Coturnix japonica: one gene and its partners. The protein of the gene in region 2 interacts with the protein of the main gene of each other region in a biochemical or structural test. Links are inferred from orthologs where the notes say so. Each region holds a gene or a part of one and is shown on either strand. Other genes may lie near its edges.

What was found.
Region 1: the proteins of PSMD4 (region 2) and NUB1 form a complex in vitro, tested with the Homo sapiens proteins (2 studies listed by BioGRID). The link is inferred for Coturnix japonica from reciprocal best matches to the Homo sapiens genes PSMD4 and NUB1.
Region 3: the proteins of PSMD4 (region 2) and PRKN form a complex in vitro, tested with the Homo sapiens proteins (6 studies listed by BioGRID, with this or other methods). The link is inferred for Coturnix japonica from reciprocal best matches to the Homo sapiens genes PSMD4 and PRKN.
Region 4: the proteins of PSMD4 (region 2) and UBQLN1 form a complex in vitro, tested with the Homo sapiens proteins (6 studies listed by BioGRID and IntAct, with this or other methods). The link is inferred for Coturnix japonica from reciprocal best matches to the Homo sapiens genes PSMD4 and UBQLN1.

Annotation. Positions count from the first base shown.
Region 1 is NC_029517.1:5,523,525-5,528,137, forward strand, and holds the start of NUB1 (NEDD8 ultimate buster 1), read left to right. Parts: upstream 1-1,442; 5' UTR 1,443-1,508; exon of another isoform or gene 1,509-1,699; intron 1,700-3,375; 5' UTR 3,376-3,379; coding exon 3,380-3,496; intron 3,497-3,581; coding exon 3,582-3,743; intron 3,744-4,613. UniProt on the Homo sapiens protein: Specific down-regulator of the NEDD8 conjugation system. Recruits NEDD8, UBD, and their conjugates to the proteasome for degradation. Isoform 1 promotes the degradation of NEDD8 more efficiently than isoform 2.
Region 2 is NC_029540.1:2,264,532-2,269,342, reverse strand, and holds the start of PSMD4 (26S proteasome non-ATPase regulatory subunit 4), read right to left. Parts: upstream 2,956-4,811; 5' UTR 2,858-2,955; coding exon 2,832-2,857; intron 1,832-2,831; coding exon 1,691-1,831; intron 1,552-1,690; coding exon 1,437-1,551; intron 1,254-1,436; coding exon 1,167-1,253; intron 900-1,166; coding exon 831-899; intron 328-830; coding exon 112-327; intron 25-111; coding exon 1-24. UniProt on the Homo sapiens protein: Component of the 26S proteasome, a multiprotein complex involved in the ATP-dependent degradation of ubiquitinated proteins.
Region 3 is NC_029518.1:40,121,854-40,126,432, reverse strand, and holds the start of PRKN (E3 ubiquitin-protein ligase parkin), read right to left. Parts: upstream 3,172-4,579; 5' UTR 3,061-3,171; coding exon 2,863-3,060; intron 1-2,862. UniProt on the Homo sapiens protein: Functions within a multiprotein E3 ubiquitin ligase complex, catalyzing the covalent attachment of ubiquitin moieties onto substrate proteins. Substrates include SYT11 and VDAC1.
Region 4 is NC_029547.1:36,155,986-36,160,789, forward strand, and holds the start of UBQLN1 (ubiquilin-1), read right to left. Parts: upstream 3,172-4,804; coding exon 3,013-3,171; intron 1-3,012. UniProt on the Homo sapiens protein: Plays an important role in the regulation of different protein degradation mechanisms and pathways including ubiquitin-proteasome system (UPS), autophagy and endoplasmic reticulum-associated protein degradation (ERAD) pathway.

The DNA of each region.
Region 1 (4,613 bases), on a different chromosome or scaffold from region 2:
TAGTGGGCAAATGTGACTGATTTATGCTCACAGGAGAGCTTGGAATCCTTGATGTTCTATTTCAGAGTTTGTGAGCAAGACACACAATATCTGCAGGGCTGTTGGAAATATCCTCAATAATTTTTGGTCAGGATGGTATCTCTGATAAAAGCAGTTTTTATTCATGATTGCAATGGCGGGTGCCCTGATAGCAGAAGCGCACCTATGGACATGATGTTACAGTTTTTATACCTTTTCTCCCATGTGTTTTCCCCTCCCCTCTCCCCTTTGGTTGGGTATTACAGGTTATAATTTTACCCAAGGTTTGCATTTGTTAATTACATTCTGAAATTTGTTAGTTCACTTGCTATCTTGTGCCAGTCAGTTGCCATCCTGCTGTTTCTGTTTCCAAGATGTCTCGGTACTCTTATCGTATTGGTATGCTGATTCCCTTTAAAGCTTCTTCCATTCTGTCCTAGAGGCCTTTGTTAAACAAAGAGCCCAGAGGAGAGGGGTGATTCCAGTCCTTCCCGATATCTCTTCAGGCACATCCTTAGGTATGTCATGACTTGTATTTTTGAACAACAAAACATTAATACATACATTGTTGCTAGTTTATACAGGCATATTGTTAATTATTTTAACTTCTCCTCTTTGGATCTTATTTGTCCAGCACCAAAAACCAGTAGTTCTATTTCAGACAGCTGGACAGACAGAAGCTGCAGTCTTTGTAACTATGATTTTTACCTAATAACTGCAAATTTCTTCACTTATATATTCATATTTTGTTCTAAATGCAGAAACAACATTTGATTCCCACAAGGGCCACACAGCTGCCTAAGGAATATACCCCAGCAATGGGCCATTATGGGACCTATAGCAGAAGGTACAAAAGGAAATGGAGGCAAACGTGTTCCTGAGTCTGGGAGGTGTCTAAAGTATCAGATTAGAACTTAAAAGAACTGGTTTTAAGTTAAAAGAGGGAAGATTTAGGTTGGATGTTAGGGGGAAGTTCTTCACTAGGAGAGTGGTTAGGCCCTGGAACAGGCTGCCCAGGGAGGTTGTGGATGCCCCGTCCTTGGAGGTGTTCAAGGCCAGGTTGGACAGGGCCCTGGGCAACCTGATCTATGGGGTCTCTATGGGGATCTATGGGGTCTATGGGGTCTCTATGGGGTCTATGGGGTCCCTATGGGGTCTATGGGGTCTATGGGGTCTCTATGGGGTCTATGGGGTCTCTATGGGGTCTATGGGGTCTCCTGGGCAACCTTATCTAGTAAATGTGTATGTTTGGTGGCCCTGCCAGGCAGGGGGGTTGGAACTACATGATCCTTGAGGTCCCTTCCAACCCGGGTCATTGATTCTGTGATTAAAAACCTCCCATCCACAAGTGAGGGCAAAGTGCTAAGATGGCGGCCATCGCTTGGCTTCACCACGTGACCCACTCCTCCACTTCCGCCCTCAGAGCGGGGACCTCCCGGAAGTAGCGGTCAGGAGGCGGGCGTTGCAGGCCCCACCCCACACAGCCGCAGGTAAGAACATGGCGGGGGGGGCGGGCCCTGCGCCTTGCCCCTCCTACAGGCCGCCGACAGCGGGTGAGCTACCGCCTTGTTATCCCTCAGAACAAGCTTCTGGGTCTTTATGGGGGTTGGGGCAGCGGTTGCTAGGGCTCGTTGTCCCCTCAGCCTGAGCGCCGAGGCCTGTGTTTCACTGCAGGGCTCAGGTGGGTGCTTCCCTTCACACTGCGGCCTGCTTTAGGCCTCGCCCTTGTGGTGCTTTGAGCTGTGATAGTGCTGGGAGTTCATCCCTATGGCACAGGGTTATAAGGGTGTCGGTGCTGGGTGGGCTGGGTGTGTGCTGAGTTGCTTCGCTTCTCTATGTGCCCTGGAGCCGCGAGTGATCATTAAATAGCTGCTGTATGGCACCTTGTTTATGTTTCTATCTTGTTTTATTGCTAGACTGCTCAGAAACCTCCTTTTCTCAGCGATTTGGCTTTCAAACCTGATTTTTATGCTTGTTTTTCTGAGCCCAGCTGGCTCAGAAGGTGACGTTTGCGTGACAGAAAGCTCAGTCCAGCATTCAGAACAGCCCTTGGTAAATCCCCATCGGTTGTTTGGGGAGGGTCCCTTTAAGCTCAGTGAAAGTGAAACTATCAGGGATGTTTGTGCTGCTTGGTGGAAGCATCTCTCCTAAGTTCTTGCTCAGGATTCTCTTGCCGTTTACTGCGGGATGACCTCGTTTCAGCCTTTCAGTACTTAAAAGGGAGCCTATAAACAGAAGGGGAGTCGACCCTTTGAAAGGGTAGATAACAGCAGGACAAGGGAAAATGGCTTTAAGTTGAAGGAGGGAATTAGGTTGGATGTCAGGGGGAAGTTCTTTACTATGAGAGTGGTGAGGTGCTGGAACAGCTGTCCAGAGAGGCTGTGGATGCCCCATCCCTGGAGGTGTTCAAGGCCAGGTTGGATGGGGCCCTGGGCAGCCTGGGCTGGTATTAAATATAGAGGTTGGTAGCCCTGCATGCAGCAGAGGGGGTTGGAGCTTCATGATTCTTGAAGTCCCTTCCAAAGTGGCAGTTTAATCAATATTCAATGCCAACAACTTAAATGTCTTTCTATATAAATTAAAAGGCATCTCCCGTACGATTCCCAGTGTACGAGAGCCAAGTCATAAGTAAATAGATTTTCTTTGTGTTGGTTATTTATTTCGGAGATCGCCTCATCATCCTTTCCTTACCCTCTGTCTGCTTTCTCTATTCCTTGCTATAGAATCACTGAGATTGAATAAGGCCTCTGAGATCATTCAGTCAGGAAGGCATCAGGAATCATATAGGAAGGCAAAAGGCACTGACACATTTTGCTGGCAATAGCAGGACACGGGGAAATGGTTTTAAGTTAAAAGAGGGAAGATTTAGGTTGGATGTTAGGGGGAAGTTCTTCACTAGGAGAGTGGTTAGGCCCTGGAACAGGCTGCCCAGGGAGGTTGTGGATGCCCCGTCCTTGGAGGTGTTCAAGACCAGGTTGGACGGGGCCCTGGGCAACCTGATCTAGTAAAGGTGTATGTTTGGTGGCCCTGCTAGGCAGGGGGTTGGAACTACATGATCCTTGAGGTCCCTTCCAACCTGGGTCATTCTGTGATTTTGCAGAGGGATTGGAATGAGCAGCACTTTCCAGGGCAGGAAAGAATAGTTTTGTCACGGATTCTGAAGAATCAATGTGTTCTGCAATTATAGCTTATATGAGAGGTTAGGAAGAGATTTGCTATCACAAAATACCAAAGCTGGGGGCTCCTGAGTTACTCACGTTCTAATTTTTGGTAGTAGTTTTGTTGTTAGCTTCCCCTTCCTCAACAAAATGTGTTTCATACTCAATGGTATTTTTTGTTTGCTTGCTTTTGTTTTAGAAGAATGGCACAAAAGAAGTATTTGATAGCAAAGCTGACGAGTTGCTTGAGAGAAGACAAAATTCAGCTATGGAAACCACCATATACAAATGATAAAAAAGAAGCTGGTGAAGAGATGAAGGTAAATATTCCATCTGAGCTGACATCATGTATCCTGCAGTTGTATTACTGATGCATTTTGCCAGGTTTTCTTGCTGTTTTCTTAGGAGCTTGTACAGAAATACGCATCCAAGCTGAAAATCAATGAGAACGATGCAGAGAATATGCTGGAAGAAATACGGTGCAAAGCAATTGAGCGCGGAACAGGAAATGAAAATTATAAAGTGACTGGGATTGCAAGGCTTGATATCCATCTGCCTCGGAGAAAAGTAAGTGATGTTGCAGGAAAGTTGGGATAAGTAACTTTACTTTATGGGCTTTTGAGTTCTAGGTACGTATCTAATGCAAATGTGTTCTTCCTCAGCTTCTTTGGGTGTTTTGCATGATGGATCTGTGTTTGATATTAATAATGATAATTATTATTATGCTGGAAGGGAGAAGATGTTGTGTAGATATAGTTTAAGTTCCTCAGATATATGGAAGTATCGTGAAGAAGGGATATAGTGTCGGGAGGCCAGTAATTGTCTTCCCCTTAGGATTTAATGAGAAATGATCTTTCAATTAAGGAAAGTAAATTAGATTTGAGTGTCTGTCTAGTTCAATTTGATTTCTTCTGTCTGAACTGTTCATATTAATAATAAAGAGCAGATTTTTTTTTCAGTTGTAAAATGCCTAAAGTTGCATTAGCAAATGAATATCACTTTATTAACACGGCTCTTGTTGAAGTGACAGCTTTAATTTTTTTAAAAGTCCCCTTTCTTTTTAGCTGCAATGAGCGTATTGAGTGCTGTGTCATCATTGGCTGACAATATAAAATAGTCCTCCTTTAGCTTTTAACCATGGCATGTGGCAGCGCTCTTACAGTGATTTATATTGTGGCTGTTCTAGCCTAGGCAGCTGACTAAACCTCCAGTGTTAGAACTTGGAAAGGCAAGGGATGGTTTACTATTATGATGGTACTCACTATTCTAAGTGAGGTTCCAAACAACGTGCCCCTTAAAGCCGGGCTTCAGCCTTTAGTTTCTTGCATAAAACATACCGCAATAATGACAGTTGTCAGCATCCCCTCTGATGCAGCTCTGCCTGGGCCACCTGCTGTTTTACCAAGCAATGGTCAGGCGCGATGTGAGGAACTGATC
Region 2 (4,811 bases):
CTCCTCCATGGAGACACGCAGAGCCTGCAGAGATGGGCAGAGCGCAGCACTGAGGGGCACAGCCCAGAGCAGCACAGCAGGGCACACACTGCTGCCCCCCATCCCACTCACCAGGGCCAGCTCTGGGTCGGCACTTGGATCCACACCGAACTCGAAGTCGCTGGCTCCCAGGCCCAGCATGGCTCCCCCCTCACCAGCCAGGATCGGGGAGCTGATGAGGGCATCGGCCAGGCTGGGCCCTGGCGGCACCGTCACCAGGTGGGAGCCTGTTCCATCCTTCCCATTCAGGGTGTTGATGAAGGCCGTCAGTTTGTCCGTGTTGGCTTCCTAGGTGAAGAGAGAGGCTGGGAGCCCAGCTCCCCCCATGCTGCCCCCATACCTGGAAGCACCACTAGCCGCAGCGCACCAGGTGATGCCATTCTTGCTCCCCAGTCCGCCATTATCCCTTCTCCTCCCACCAAACATAATCCAGGCACAGAGCAGAACCACACGGGTCACAAACCCCAGAGGCAAGGGGCCAGAAATGCCATCTGGGGGCACACAGCTCTGCTGTTTCCACGGGGAAAAATAACAAGGCCTGCAGCAAAACATGTGGGGCCTCCCCAGAGGGAAACATGAACCTCAGCAACACCAGTGGAGCCACAGAGGGGGTGTTATGGGGATGTTATGGGATGGGGTGTGATGTTATGGAGTGTTATGAGGTGTTAGGGGGTGTTATGGGATGGGATGTTATGGGGTGGGATGGGATGTTATGGGGTGTGATGGGATGTTATGTCTCTCCTGACCCCCTGGCTCAGATCTTAACTGGTAAAACGCAGCCCAAGTCTCACCTCTTCTCCAAAGTTGATAATGTCAACATTGACCTTCTCCTTCTTCAGACGCTTTGCCAGCTTCACCAGCTGCAACAAGGAAATGGGGCAGCTTTAGTGCCTCACTGCCCACATCTCAGCTCACAGCCCAACCCTCCCATTGGAAACCTGGGGACAGCCCTCAAGATCCTTACGAAGCAAAGCCCCAAATCAGCCCCACAGCTGCAGCTCCAGCCCACACTGCCCTGCTGGGGCACAGCCTTCCACTCAGAGCAGAGCAAGGAACAAGCCACCCATCTGGTTTAGGGGTAATGGAGAGCAGAGACAACATATTCTGCTTAGACTGGCGCTACTCACGTCTTTCTCGTTATCTTCTACAGGGCTCCCGACAAAGGCAATGATTCGCATCTTGTGGTTCTTGCCCTGGCGATGCTTCAGAGCCAGCTACAAAACAGAAGTCACATCGTGCTCAAGGAGCAGCTCCCAGGAGAGAGGACGGCTGGGAGGCAGCCCTGCACAGACACAGAGAAGCAGAGAACCACCGGGTGGATGAGCCTCCTCCTCCTCCTCCCCCCAACCCAGATCCCCAATCCAAAGCTGGCTCAGTTTGTAGTAACAACAACTTACATGAGCAACTCTGATCCCCGTGCAAAAGGTGATTTTCCCTTTGGGTTGCACCGTGTGTAGCTTTGAAAGGATCCGTCCTGTGTCCGGAGTGAGCGTGGTCAACACTTCACAGTTACTGCAAGAGAAACAAGAACTACAGTGACGCTGTTTGAGAACCTCTCTGTGAAACCCCCGTTTGCTCCAGAATGTGGAATATCCCCCCTCCCTCCTTCCCACAGCACCTCCAGGTCTATGTGTCTTAACCAGCCCCATACTTGGCTAAAGTGATGAGCCCCACGTTGTTCTCGGGGTTGCTGCGGGTCTTGGAGTGGCACACAATATTGACGGCATCCTGCTGAGCTTGCAGGCGGGTGGGTAAGAAGTCCCCATTTCTCATGTACTCACTGTTGTCAACGCTGGAAAAACACCATCCCTCAGAGGGGGCACAGCTCAGCGTCACCCACAGACACAATGAGGGTGCACTCAAATCCCAAAGCCCCTCCAGCCCAACCACCCCACAGCCGATCTTATAGCACCCTTCCCACCCAATCACTCCATGGTTAATCTTCAAGGACCCTCCCAATACATCCATCACACGGTTAATCTTTCAGGACCCTTCCCAACCACCCCACAGCTGACATTGCAGGACCCTTCCCACCCAACCAATCCATGGTTGACCTTCAAGGACCCTCCCAACACAACCATCACATGGTTAATCTTTAAGGACCTTTTCCACCCAACCGCCCCACAGTTTACCTTGCAGGACCCTCCCAACACAACCATCACATGGTTAACCTTTAAGGACCCTTCCTACCCACCCATCCCACAGCTGACCTTTCAGGACCCTTCCCACCCAATCACTCTATGGTTGACCTTCCCAATACAACCATTACATAGTTAATCTTTAAGGACCTTTTCCACCCAACCAATCCATGGTTGATCTTCAAGGATCCCCCCAACACAACTATCACATGGTTGATATTTAAGGACCCTTCCCACACAATCACTCCATGGTTGATCTTCAAGGACCCTCCCAACACATCCATCACACAGTTAATGTTTCAGGACCCTTCCCCCCCACCCCCCGTTCCACAGACATGGTTACACTCACTGAACCCCAGCAGTTCCGCAGCTCAGGCCGCCCCACTGCGATGCCCCCCCTCCAATAGGCCCCAACACGGCTCTGATGTGTCTCAATGTGACCCCAATGTGTCCACAGCGCTGACCCCAACCCCCCCCACAGGCCCGGCCCCGACCCGCCATGACTCAGGGAAAGCCGGTGCGGCGCCGCGCGGCCCATAGAGCACAGCGGGACACGAGGGAGCGAGAAGGGAGAAGGGTCGGGGCCGGGGCTGCAGCGATCCCGACCCGGTTCGATCCAACCCGGCCCGGCCCGGCCCGGCCCGGCCCGCTCACCACACCATGGTGCTCTCCAGAACCATCTTTGCTTCTTCAGAGCCGCCTCACGGCCCTCTCAATAAGGAGCCCGTTGATTGGCTGCTCGCCGTCAGCCAATAGGCGCTGCTGGAAAGCGAGGCGAGCGGAGCACGCTGGGAGTTGTAGTCCCTATAGATCCCCTATCCGCCCCCCCAAACATGGCCGCCCGGACCCATATCAGGGGGTGTGGAGGGTAGGTGAGGAGCTGATGGTGCCGCCGTCCGGGACGGCAACAGCGAGTCTGATCTTAATGAGCACCTATGGAAGCAGAGGGATGAAGGGCGGGGGGGTGGGGGGGCTGGAAGGGTCCTTGAAGGTCAAATATGGGGTGAGGGAATTGAAAGGGTCCTTAAACATCAACCTCTGATCTTAATGATCATCCACAGAACTGGGGGGGCACGGGTTGGAAGGGTCCTTGAAGGTCAAATATGGGGTGGTGAGTTTGAAAGGGTCCTTGAAGGTCAAATATGGAGGGGTGCAGTTAGAAGGGTCCTCAAAGGTCAAATATGGGGTGGGGGAATTGAAAGGGTCCTTAAACGTCAACCTCTGAACCTCTGATCTTAATGATCATCCACAGAACTGGAGGGGGGCGGGTTGGAAGGGTCCTTGAAGGTCAAATATGGAGGGATGAGACTGGAAGGAACCTTGAAGGTCAAATATGGAGGGGTGCAGTTAGAAGGGTCCTCAAAGGTCAAATATGGGGTGGGCAGACTGGTAAGGTCCTTGAAGGTCAACCTCCTCACCATAAAAGCACAGAAGAGTTTGGGATTGAAGGGACCTTGTCCCAGTTCATCGTGAGAAGTGGGACCAAAAGGTCTCCAGGAGCCCCTTCCAACCCAACCCATGCTCTGAACCCACACCGTGCTCAATGGCAGACACAAATCCCCCAACAGCTGCATTCCCTCCCCAGGATCACTCCAGACCCCCACAAAGGGGCACTGAGGCCCTTCAGAACCCACCCCACAGCCCCAGGGCAATGGCGGACACACCACAACATCCCCCCCATAGCCCCTATTCCCACAGAGCAGGCGTGGAGGCAGATGGCTGCAGGAGCACGCGCTGTATTGGGGGCCGTGGTAACCATAGAACGGCCCTGAGGGCGAAACAGTACAGAGATAACACAACAACGTCCACAACACGGCACGAGCAGCTCCATGGGGACACGGACAGGGCCTTCCCAGTGCCAAGGGACCACAAGGGCCTGAATCCAACAGGTGGTGTTGGGATCCATGACCTGAGACCTGATCCGTCAGGAGGTGCTGGGATCCATTGGCCCATGCCAGGATCCACCAGCATCCTTAAGTCCATGCCAGGATCCATCAGGTAGTACTGGATCCATTAGGAAGGTGCTGGGATCCATCACATGGGGTCAGATGCATCATGTGGTGCCAGGAGCCAACACCTGGGGCTAAGATCCTTAAGTCTGTGCCAGGGATCCATTGGGTGATGCCAGCATCCATCAACCCGTTCCAGGATCAATCAGATGGCCCTAGGATCCATTTGATGATCCCAGAATGCATCATGTGGTGCCAGGATCCATCACCTAAGGGTCAGCATCCTTAAGTCCATGACAGGATCCACTGAGTGATGGCAGGATCCATCAACCCATTCCAAGACCCATCGGGCAGTCCCAGGATCCAGGTGATGGTCCCAGGATCCATTAACCCATGCCAGGACCCATCAGCTGGGGTCAGGATCCTTAAGTCCATGCTAGGATCCATTTGATGGCCCCAGAATCCATCATCGGGGGCCAGGATCCATTGGATGAGGCTGGGGATCCATCAATTGATTCCAGGAGCCACTGGATGCTCCCAAGAGCCATCAATTGATTCCAGCATCTGTTGGATGCTCCCAGGATCCACTCAGATGCTCCCAGGATCCATCAATTGATTCCAAGAACCATTGGATTCTCCCAAGAGCCATTGGATGCTCCCAAGATCCATCAATTGATTCCAGGAG
Region 3 (4,579 bases), on a different chromosome or scaffold from region 2:
ATATATTAATTAATTACTTCTATTCATTCCAAAGTGAACTGTAATCAGCAGGGAGCTCTTCATCATTCTTCAGGATATTTAGCACCCTTAAAGTGACATCATTTGCTGTGCTTTTATGAAGCAGGTTATTGCTCTAATTCCTTCCTATGAGATCCAAATTTTGCAAGTCTCATTCTTCACCCAGTCATTACCAATCTTTTCTTAGCACGGCTCTAATTTCACTACTTGCTCCTTTGTCACTAGCAGAGATACTGATCTCCCTTGTGTACAGTTGAATCATTGTCTAATCTTTCTCTTTTTTCAAGGACAAAACACCAATCTGCGCTACCAAATTAAATGTCTCCACACATATTTCACTCCTGTCGTTCCTAGATATTTTGTACTGTTGTTGTTCTCAAATTTTTCACTTATGTAAAGATCTCAAGTTGGCATTTTCTTCCTTATCCTTATTTCTCTCTAATATTTGTCCAGTCAGCATGCATTTCTCTTCTACAGTATTCAGCTACCATGAAAGATTTTTCCATTCTCTCTGAACAGGAAAACAAATGTAGTTTTCACATTTTCAGTTGTGTTCTGTATCACCTGCACGAGATCCCAAAGTAGCTGTCAAGCCAAATCTAGCAGTTCTGCAAGCTGTGAAACCAGTAAACTTTGTTATCCAGGGATATATTTCTTATATCCCTGCCCCACACTCCTAAGATTATCCCAGCTCATTCCAAATCTCTAAATTCTCCCACAGTATCCTGGGTAAGTAAGCACAAAAGTAATTTATAAAAACAAAAGGAAAAAATGGTCTAATTAGAAATTCTAAGCTACCAAGAACTAAGATTCAGCCATGTAAAAATGTATGTTGTGTTTTGTTTTATTTTATCTGCATGCAAATCATTAGGTCCAGAAAACAACTGTTATTAATTTTCTTCTATGTGATGTTAACTCTGATATTACAGATGCAACATTAATGCCAGCAGTTACTATTTCACTAGCACTCAGCTGCTTATGCAAAAAGCCCCAAATTGCCTTCTGTAGGAAAAGTCAGATATATCAAACCATCTACCATTCTTCTTGTGTTGACAATTTCTACAATGAATAGATAAAAACAATTAAAATAATTAAATACCAGGAATAAAAATCTTGTTGACATGTTGGTATTAATCATTGGATTATGTAAGGCACTTAAATACACAAATATGGATTATGCCACCTGAAATAGCCATTTTACATCCTATATGCTTTAGAAAATGAAAGTCACAGCAATGAACATAGATCCGGTTTATTAGTAAGACTTGGCTACACTTGATAATTCTGTCATTCCTATTAAATAAATTAAGCAAATAGTCAGCAGGCTTCTATATCCAAAAAGCACATTTTAATTTGCACAGCAAAGCATTGTATGTTGTAACTGACAGCAATTTTTTTTAAAGGCAAAAAACATGATTCAATGTCTGTGACATAAAATAGCAGTAACACCAATACCTACAGCTGCTCAGGAAACACTAGGAGTTCATAAGCTTAGGACAGGATAACACAGACAACCAGAACTAGCAACTGGTATCTGGTAATTTCCACTATTTTTCTTCTCACATGTGAAAAAATATAAGTGAAATACACTGCAGTTTACATCACAAATATATGCATCAATGCTATCTATAGGTTATGCATTGTGGACTGACAACAGTTCATATTTCTGTATTGTGTTCTGTCCTAAAACACACTAAAATCCTTTGCAAAATATTGAGTATCTTAACCACAGAGAAATAGGACGGGTCATTAATACAGTAGTAACCCTTCTGTACCCAGACTTAGCATCCATTTTAATTACAGAAATACTTCTGAAACACGACTGCTAATTAACATGAAATACTTCTGCCTGTGAGGGACCTTTTATATAATCACCTGCAGTAGTAGAGACTGTGTCTGTTATTTTGATACAACTGCAGAAGGATAGCAGTTTCATTAAGGCAGTAAATTCAAGAGCACTCTATTCAAAGGCCTTTAGGTTTTCCTATGTTCCTACATGTCTTAGATGTATGATCTTATGCTAACCCCTTCCTGAACATACTCTGAAATTCACATTCACTACTCATAGTATAAATAAAAACAATGATAAAGCAACTGTGGCAGCACTGGGAAGAGTAGTAAAGAGTACAAGGAAGAGAAAATTGAACCTATATTTCCATGCTTACTACAGCTCATCACAGATGAACAATTCTGCACTTATTGAACTGAACAGCTACCTAACCTTGAAAAACTGAAATTCAGATACCCACTTATAGCCATTCTTCCACACTCCTTGCTGCTCTCAGTTTCACACATTTATGAGCTTGGTGGTTTGGATCACACTTCCATGAGCTTTTTAGAACTGGAACCATCATTCCAGCAGTGCGTTCACCTGTGTATGGCACACGGCAGCATTCAGAACAGCAGCAGCAGCCCTGTAGCTATCCTCCAGGGGTCACAATTGGGTTACAAATTCTACAGAATGTGCTGACCGTGCAGCCTGATCTGAAGCAATTTATTCACATCCTTCTTCATTAAGATTCAAATGGAATAAGTAAAATAAAAATTGAACAGATACAGAAATTGTGCATGGCTTGCTTCTGTAGTCAGTAAACATTTATTCACTAGGCACAGCTCTCTCCCATACTCTCTCACTCATATGCTCTCCCTATCCTTCCTGCTTGCTGTTTTAATGCATAATTAAGAAGGTCAGAATTAATGAAGCAGTGTGGAGTAAAGTTCAAGGAATCCCCAGGCACTATTTATTCTATTAGATCTCAGGAATGAATGTCAGATTGGCAGCATTAGAGGCAGAGGCAGCAGAGCTGGCAGCAGTCCAGGAGCAAAGCTACCACAGAGGCTTACCTGCAGCGTTAAGTCGTTGCTGAGCTCTCTCCCTGCAAAGATCACCCGCAGCTGGTCAGCTGGAACTCCCTGTCGCTGCGCAACCGCCTCCTTCAGCTGGAGGATGCTGGCTTCCAACCCAAGCTCCACCGGGAAGCCATGGCTTGAGTTGAACCTGACAAACACTGAAAAAGAGAAAACACCTTTTAAAGCAAACATTTCTCACTGCCGGTCTGTACTAGAGTGACTACAAGTGGCTTATTTGTCAATTTCAGAGAGCACTGACTGTTTTAAGAGAAAAGCTACTAATACTGTAGTGTATAATTTGGAAAAGAGGAACTGTATGGGATTTCCCTTCACAGAATAGCTAGTGACTAATAAACAAAAGCCACGTGCTTCCCCCAGCAGAGCTATAAATTGAAGAGAAACATCAGAACCAAAAGGGACCCATCCAGCCAGCAGTCCAGGCAACCACTAAGTCCTGGAACAAATCTCTGATCCACAACTGACCTTAACAGACACAGGACACACACACTTTCTATGCCCCTTGTGCTCTTTCCTGCTGCACGTAACAAATGCATGCAGAAAACTGAGTTTTAGAGCTAAGTTACATTAAATAATACTAAGCAAAACAATTCACTGTTATACTGCAGAGCACGGTCACATAAATTGGTTCCCCACAGATACAATTCTGTGGAAGGTAATGATGGAGAGAAAAATCACACGCTAGCAGAAATGTTTGGGAGTGTTGTATTACACTGTGGTCTTTTCAGAGTTCACTAAAACATCTGCAGTACATAACTCCTGCTGGCATGTTCCTTCAGTGCAGGAAATCACTACCGCACTCGCCATATCATTTTTAGAGCTGCAGAGAGTGGTTTATATATCCTGAGAAGCCTGGCAAATAAACTCATGAGCTTACAGCCATTCAGCTGGCAGTGTTGTTTTTCACAAGGGTGCTGAATGTGCTCATTGAGCCCTTGACCAGGGGAGTGACTACAAGAACTATGCAACAAGAAAAGCTTGACTACATCCATACCAGTCACTAAGGCTGCATAAACAGTACACTCAATCCCAGTGGGCTGCTTCAGCCAATAAACAGTTCCACTAGCACAAAGCAAAGGAATTAGCAAGTAATATAAAGCAATAAAATCATTTGTATCAATTAGTCACTGGCTACCTGACATTTGAACTGTTTAGGTATTGATTGCAATAACCATCCCTCTTGAAGATTTCCCATTCCCACTGCAATGTTCTAACTGAAGACATACTCCTTTGAATTTTTTATGAGTGACAGATGCATAAATTCAAAAGTGCTCATACAGTTTGAGGAAATCTATTTTTAAACTGACAATAGGATCAATGATTTTCCAAACACAAAGTGTACCTGACTGCTGTAAAGGAGTCAAATGCTTTAAAAGCATGCGAATATAGTTGAGAATGATGGCGATTTTTTGCTGAGCAATGAACGTTGTAAATATTTGCAATTTTACACCTTTAATATAGATTTTGCTATTTCTGGATAATCTTTAAGGCCATAGACCAATATATTTTTTTACACAACATTTTGAGTTTTGCACATCCTCTAAATTTACTAAAAACCAGGATAGGATTACATAACACCGTGTCAGGAGGAGTGCAGTACATACGGCCTACAATGTGTTACAGAGTCTCCTGCAGTACATCTTGTTACTGGGTTTGATTTCTATATAAAGATGTTCTGGAAATAACTGAAATG
Region 4 (4,804 bases), on a different chromosome or scaffold from region 2:
AATGCCGCGTTGCAACACCGGAGGCCCTGGGTTCGAATCCCCCCTGTGGCACAAATGGTAGAAGTGCTGCTCTGCTACACAGGAGGCTCGAATTCCGGGGGGTTGGACTCAATGATCTCTAAGGTCCCTTCCAACCTGCACGAGACTATGATACTATGATACATGCTGAGCACAAACAGAGAAAAAACAAAATAAGAAAGAGACAGATGAGCAGCACTTGTCTCTAATCAAATGACCTTCCAAAGGGGCTTATAACTTGAAGGTTATTTTCCATTGCAACCTGTGTACTCCATGTTCTAGATGCACAACGCAGCATCAGCAATGACTCCATTACTGAAGTTTTCAATACAGAAAAAAAAAAAAAAACAAACGTGAGACTAACCCATTTTAAGGGTCAGCTCTGGAAACATCATATTTACTGCTGATGCTTACTATTAAAAACAGCTTATTATTACAGTTTAAGAAAAACAGATTAACATTAGCCACTACCAGACACTGTGTATTTTAGTGGTAGTTGTGACAGCTTAGGACCCACAGCAAATGGTGGGCCTCCAGGGGCAATCTTACTTCATGGGAACCAAGGTATAACTGCAAATAGTCTGTACCTCTAATGTACTGTCAAATGTTTAGCGCTTAAGATAAGTGGACAACAATTAAATTTCAAGCAGCATCTTCTATTAACTACTTAAAATCATATGTCTTCTTTTAGTAAAGTGTGCTTGCTAGCTTATTTAGACATTTGCTTTTAAGACAACTGATCACAAAACAACCTGGCATCCCAACTGGCCTTCATATTTAAAAAAAAAAAAAAATCCTGCTAAAGATAAATTTGTAAATATAAATTTCACCTTAAGTAAATTTGTTTACACCTCCTTAAGTATCCAAATAATTTGCAATTACATTGTTTTTGGTGATAGATACTTTCCTCCTGTTAGATCTGGAATATGAATCTCCAAAAAAATTAAAAAAGACCCCATAAAGAACTTTCCAGTAACTTTATAACAGTGCTGATGTTGCTTAGAAGAGGAAAAAAAGTACCCCCTTCTGACAGATTTCTGCAAACATTAAAAGCAAACGCTGCCATTTCACCTTTGGGAGAAATGCCTAGATTAAGTTTGCAGATAGAGTAGCAGGTAGGATGCTGCAAAAAGCCCAAAGACAGAAGAGTATCACTTCCCCAGCAGCTGGAGAGAGGACCTCAATTAAGCTTATTTCTGGGATGCTTATAAGCAAAATAATGAGAAAAACTTGAAAGAAATACCAGCATCTTGTCGCCTCACAGCAACTAGGTAGAACAAAGATTTAAATTCTAGCCCAGTTGCTGGTACTACACTCAGGGCTTTTACTTCACCTCTTGTATTCCCCTTTGATAACCACATAGCATCTTCTGGTTTAACCATAAGAAATGATATCAAGCTTTGCATTTTGACAACAGTGGTGACACCTGGAGATAAATTCAGAGCCTTCAGCAACTAATTCAAACTCCTTGGCAAACTGACATTCAGTTTAGGAAAGGCTGTGTTTCCCAGATAAGCAGGACATCTGAAGCCTAAAAGCAGAGTCTCATCCCACAAGCTTTGAGGAGCTAAGCTGTACGCTGCTGGGTTTGATAATACAGGCACCATAATAAGGTCGATGTGCTAATGAGAAACTTAAATAGCCAAGACTCTCAAAAACAGGTTTTGGACTAAATACAGGCCTGGCCCACACCACCTCTGGCATGGGCAACACCTCCCAGTGGAACCTGACAACCACCAAAGATTCCCTAGAAAGAACCCTATATTAACTCATCACATGTGTGGCACTACATTTTAATATATAAAGCAATTCTAAGAATAAACCATCACTTCAGTGGAAATAGTATGTATACTTACATGTTGAAGTGTACGAGATCTGTTACTTTACATCCTAGGTATGCATGCTAGGAAAATCAACCAACCATACACCCAGAGCTAAAATAAAATAATGTCAGCTTTGTAACCTGTCACTCAGGTTGTCAACTTTCATGGCTGGATTTCTGTGGCAGCAGAGCTCACATACATGCCCATGTTTTACTTTGCAGTTACAAGTCACATGCAAGAAGGGGGAAAAAAAAAAAGAATTCAAACTGAGGCACCTCATCCAAAGATACTTTAAAGAACATTTCAGATAAATCATATGGACAAAGTAAGCTCTGAATCCCCTCCAAGTAACTGCATCTTTTGGAGTATCTTAGCAAAACAGTATCCATCTCCTTCACAAACAGAAGGCTGATTTTACAGACTCTACCTTAGGCTTTGATTGTAGTTCCTCTATGGTTGGTTGCCCTCTAACTCAAATAAAAGCCCCCATCAACACCTGCACAGAAAACTTCCACAAAAAAACATTACAGGAGCATTACAGGAAATCGAGATGATGATTCACTACTTCTTTCAAACCGAAGGTACCAGGGTTGGGGTGGAGGGGGCACAGGCTTTCATAAGAAAAGTGCAGCTGAAGTTGCACTTTATTTACACTGCAAATTCTATAATCTCTCGAAAAAGACAACTTCCCTAAAATTCTGATGCTCGCCGTGGCGTTCTCAGTTGTTTGGGTTTTTTTTTTGTTTGTTTGGGTTTTTTTTGGTAGTGTTGTTTTTTTAGAGCACATTTTATCCAGATAACGACCGGCCCCACAACGCTCTCAGCAAGGTGATTGCGCACGCTCTCCGCAGCCTCACCGGCAAGCAAGCTGCCGCCTCCCGCTGCCAGCCTGAGTCAGCCGGGCCGGGCAACGCAACAAGAGCCGGGCCGGGCCTCCTCCCGAGCCGACACACAACCGCGGGTAGCGAGAGGTCGGGGGGGGGATGCGGCCGCCCCGCCGGGAGCGGACCACGACCGAGCCCCGCCGCTCTCCGGCCCGGCCCCGCGGAGCTCGGGCAGGCAGCAGTCGCTTCGTCACGGGCACGGGCCCCAGCCCTGCAGCGTGAGGCCGCGGAGCGCGGCAGAGCTCGGCCGGCAGGCCGCGTTTCCCTCGCTCCTCGCCGCCCCTCACCTGCCGGATGCTGCTGGTTTCGGCAACAGAGAACTCCTCTTTCTCTTTGGGAGTCTTCACCGTGACTCTGATAATGCGCGGTTCGTCGGCAGCTGAGCCCTGAGCAGGAGTCTCCGGGGGACTGCGGCGCCCCGCGGGGCTGTCTGTGCTGTCTGACATCGTGAGCGGGGCCGGGCCGGCACCTAACGCCCGTCAGCTCGGAACAAGCACAACACTCCCTACTCTCACCTCACCCCCCAACGGGCTCTGCCCGCTCCCGTAGCGCCGGGCGGAAATACCCGTCCTGGCCGCGGCGCGCATTGATGACGCAGCTCTTCGGGGAAGTTACTAGAAAGGGGCGCTGCCTGCCCGGGTGGGGGCTGGATGCACGGCGTCTATTGCGCGCATGCGCCACGCTCGCGTAGGCGCAGTTAGTCTCGCGTACGCCGCCAACTGCGGGGCGGGGCGGGGCGGTCTGGTCTGAGTTTGGTCTTTCAGTTTGTTGCTCTGCGCTGTTGTACGGCAATAATGTCGAACGTGTACTGTTCTGGAAGCGGGATTCCTGAGGCACTGCTCCATAGACGGGTTGCACGTTGCTCTGAATTTTGGACCAAGTGCACTTAATCGCTAATTAATTCTAGCGTCACCAAGTCAGGCTCTACCTAGTGATATTCGTAAATTAAAGATTCGAATTTCTCTTTTAAGCATGAAACACAATCATGGATTTCCGTAGGACACCGAGTGCCTGCTCCTCCTCATCCTTCATTAACAGCTCGGTTTCCCAGAGGACGCTGTGCAGCGGAGGAGCTGCTGTCTTGCTGTGGTGTGAGGATAATCTCATGTGTAGGAACTCAGTGTAAATCATGTTGGCTGGTAACACCACAGAGCTGCCTCCAGTCCTCTAAAACTATTGTGCAATCCATTTAAAACCTGTCAACAGGTTTTAAAACAGGGATACCAAAAGCTGGCGGAAGGCCCATTGAAGTTCTGGTTGGCCTAGAGAATTGGTGTGTTAAGGAAAAAAAATGCTTTCAGGTATATTTAATCTCTGAGCCTTTTTTTTGTCACACTCATTCCTTTTCCCGTGTTAGTTGTGACCCTACACAGCACTGAACTGTGGTGCAGCAGGGCGCTTTGACACAGAATGGTGGTAGAATGAGGGCCGCAGTGAGTCAGGTAGTGCTTTGCTCAACCAAGCAGTGGTTTCAAGCAGCAATCAATTGGATCAAAGTGCAAGGGCTTTTGCAACCAGGGCTACTCTTAGTTTACAACAGCTCATGCTGACTGTATGGCTACTTGAGTACAGTTTGTACCAAAATAGCACAACTGCTATCCATTAGGCTAGAAGAGATTTACAGTTTAGATTATTAGGCATCTGTGGTATTCAGTGAGAGTACCTAAGAGGTAAGGAGTACAAAATAAGAACTTGAATTTAGTAGGTTCTTAATGTGGGAATGGAATGTTGTTTCTGCATTACATATTGAAAAAGGCAGTCGATCTGAAGAAGCAGAACAAATGTATTTGTATTTTGTAACTTGTCCTTAGAAATAGCTGATGTGAAAAAGTAGAAATACCATATATGTTAGTAGCATATTTTAGAAATATAGTTGCTGAATTATGTGATTAATTCTTGCTTGCAAAACTGCAATAGTTTTTAAATGTTCCAAATAGTATGGGTATAGTATTATGGACTAGAAAACATATTGTAAGGCTATTCTGTTTGGATAAGAGACCCTCAGCAAAAGAAAAACAGACTTAACAAACATCAAAGAAGCCAGGGCCTCCGCACAAGGCTGGATTGCTTTGTCCTGTG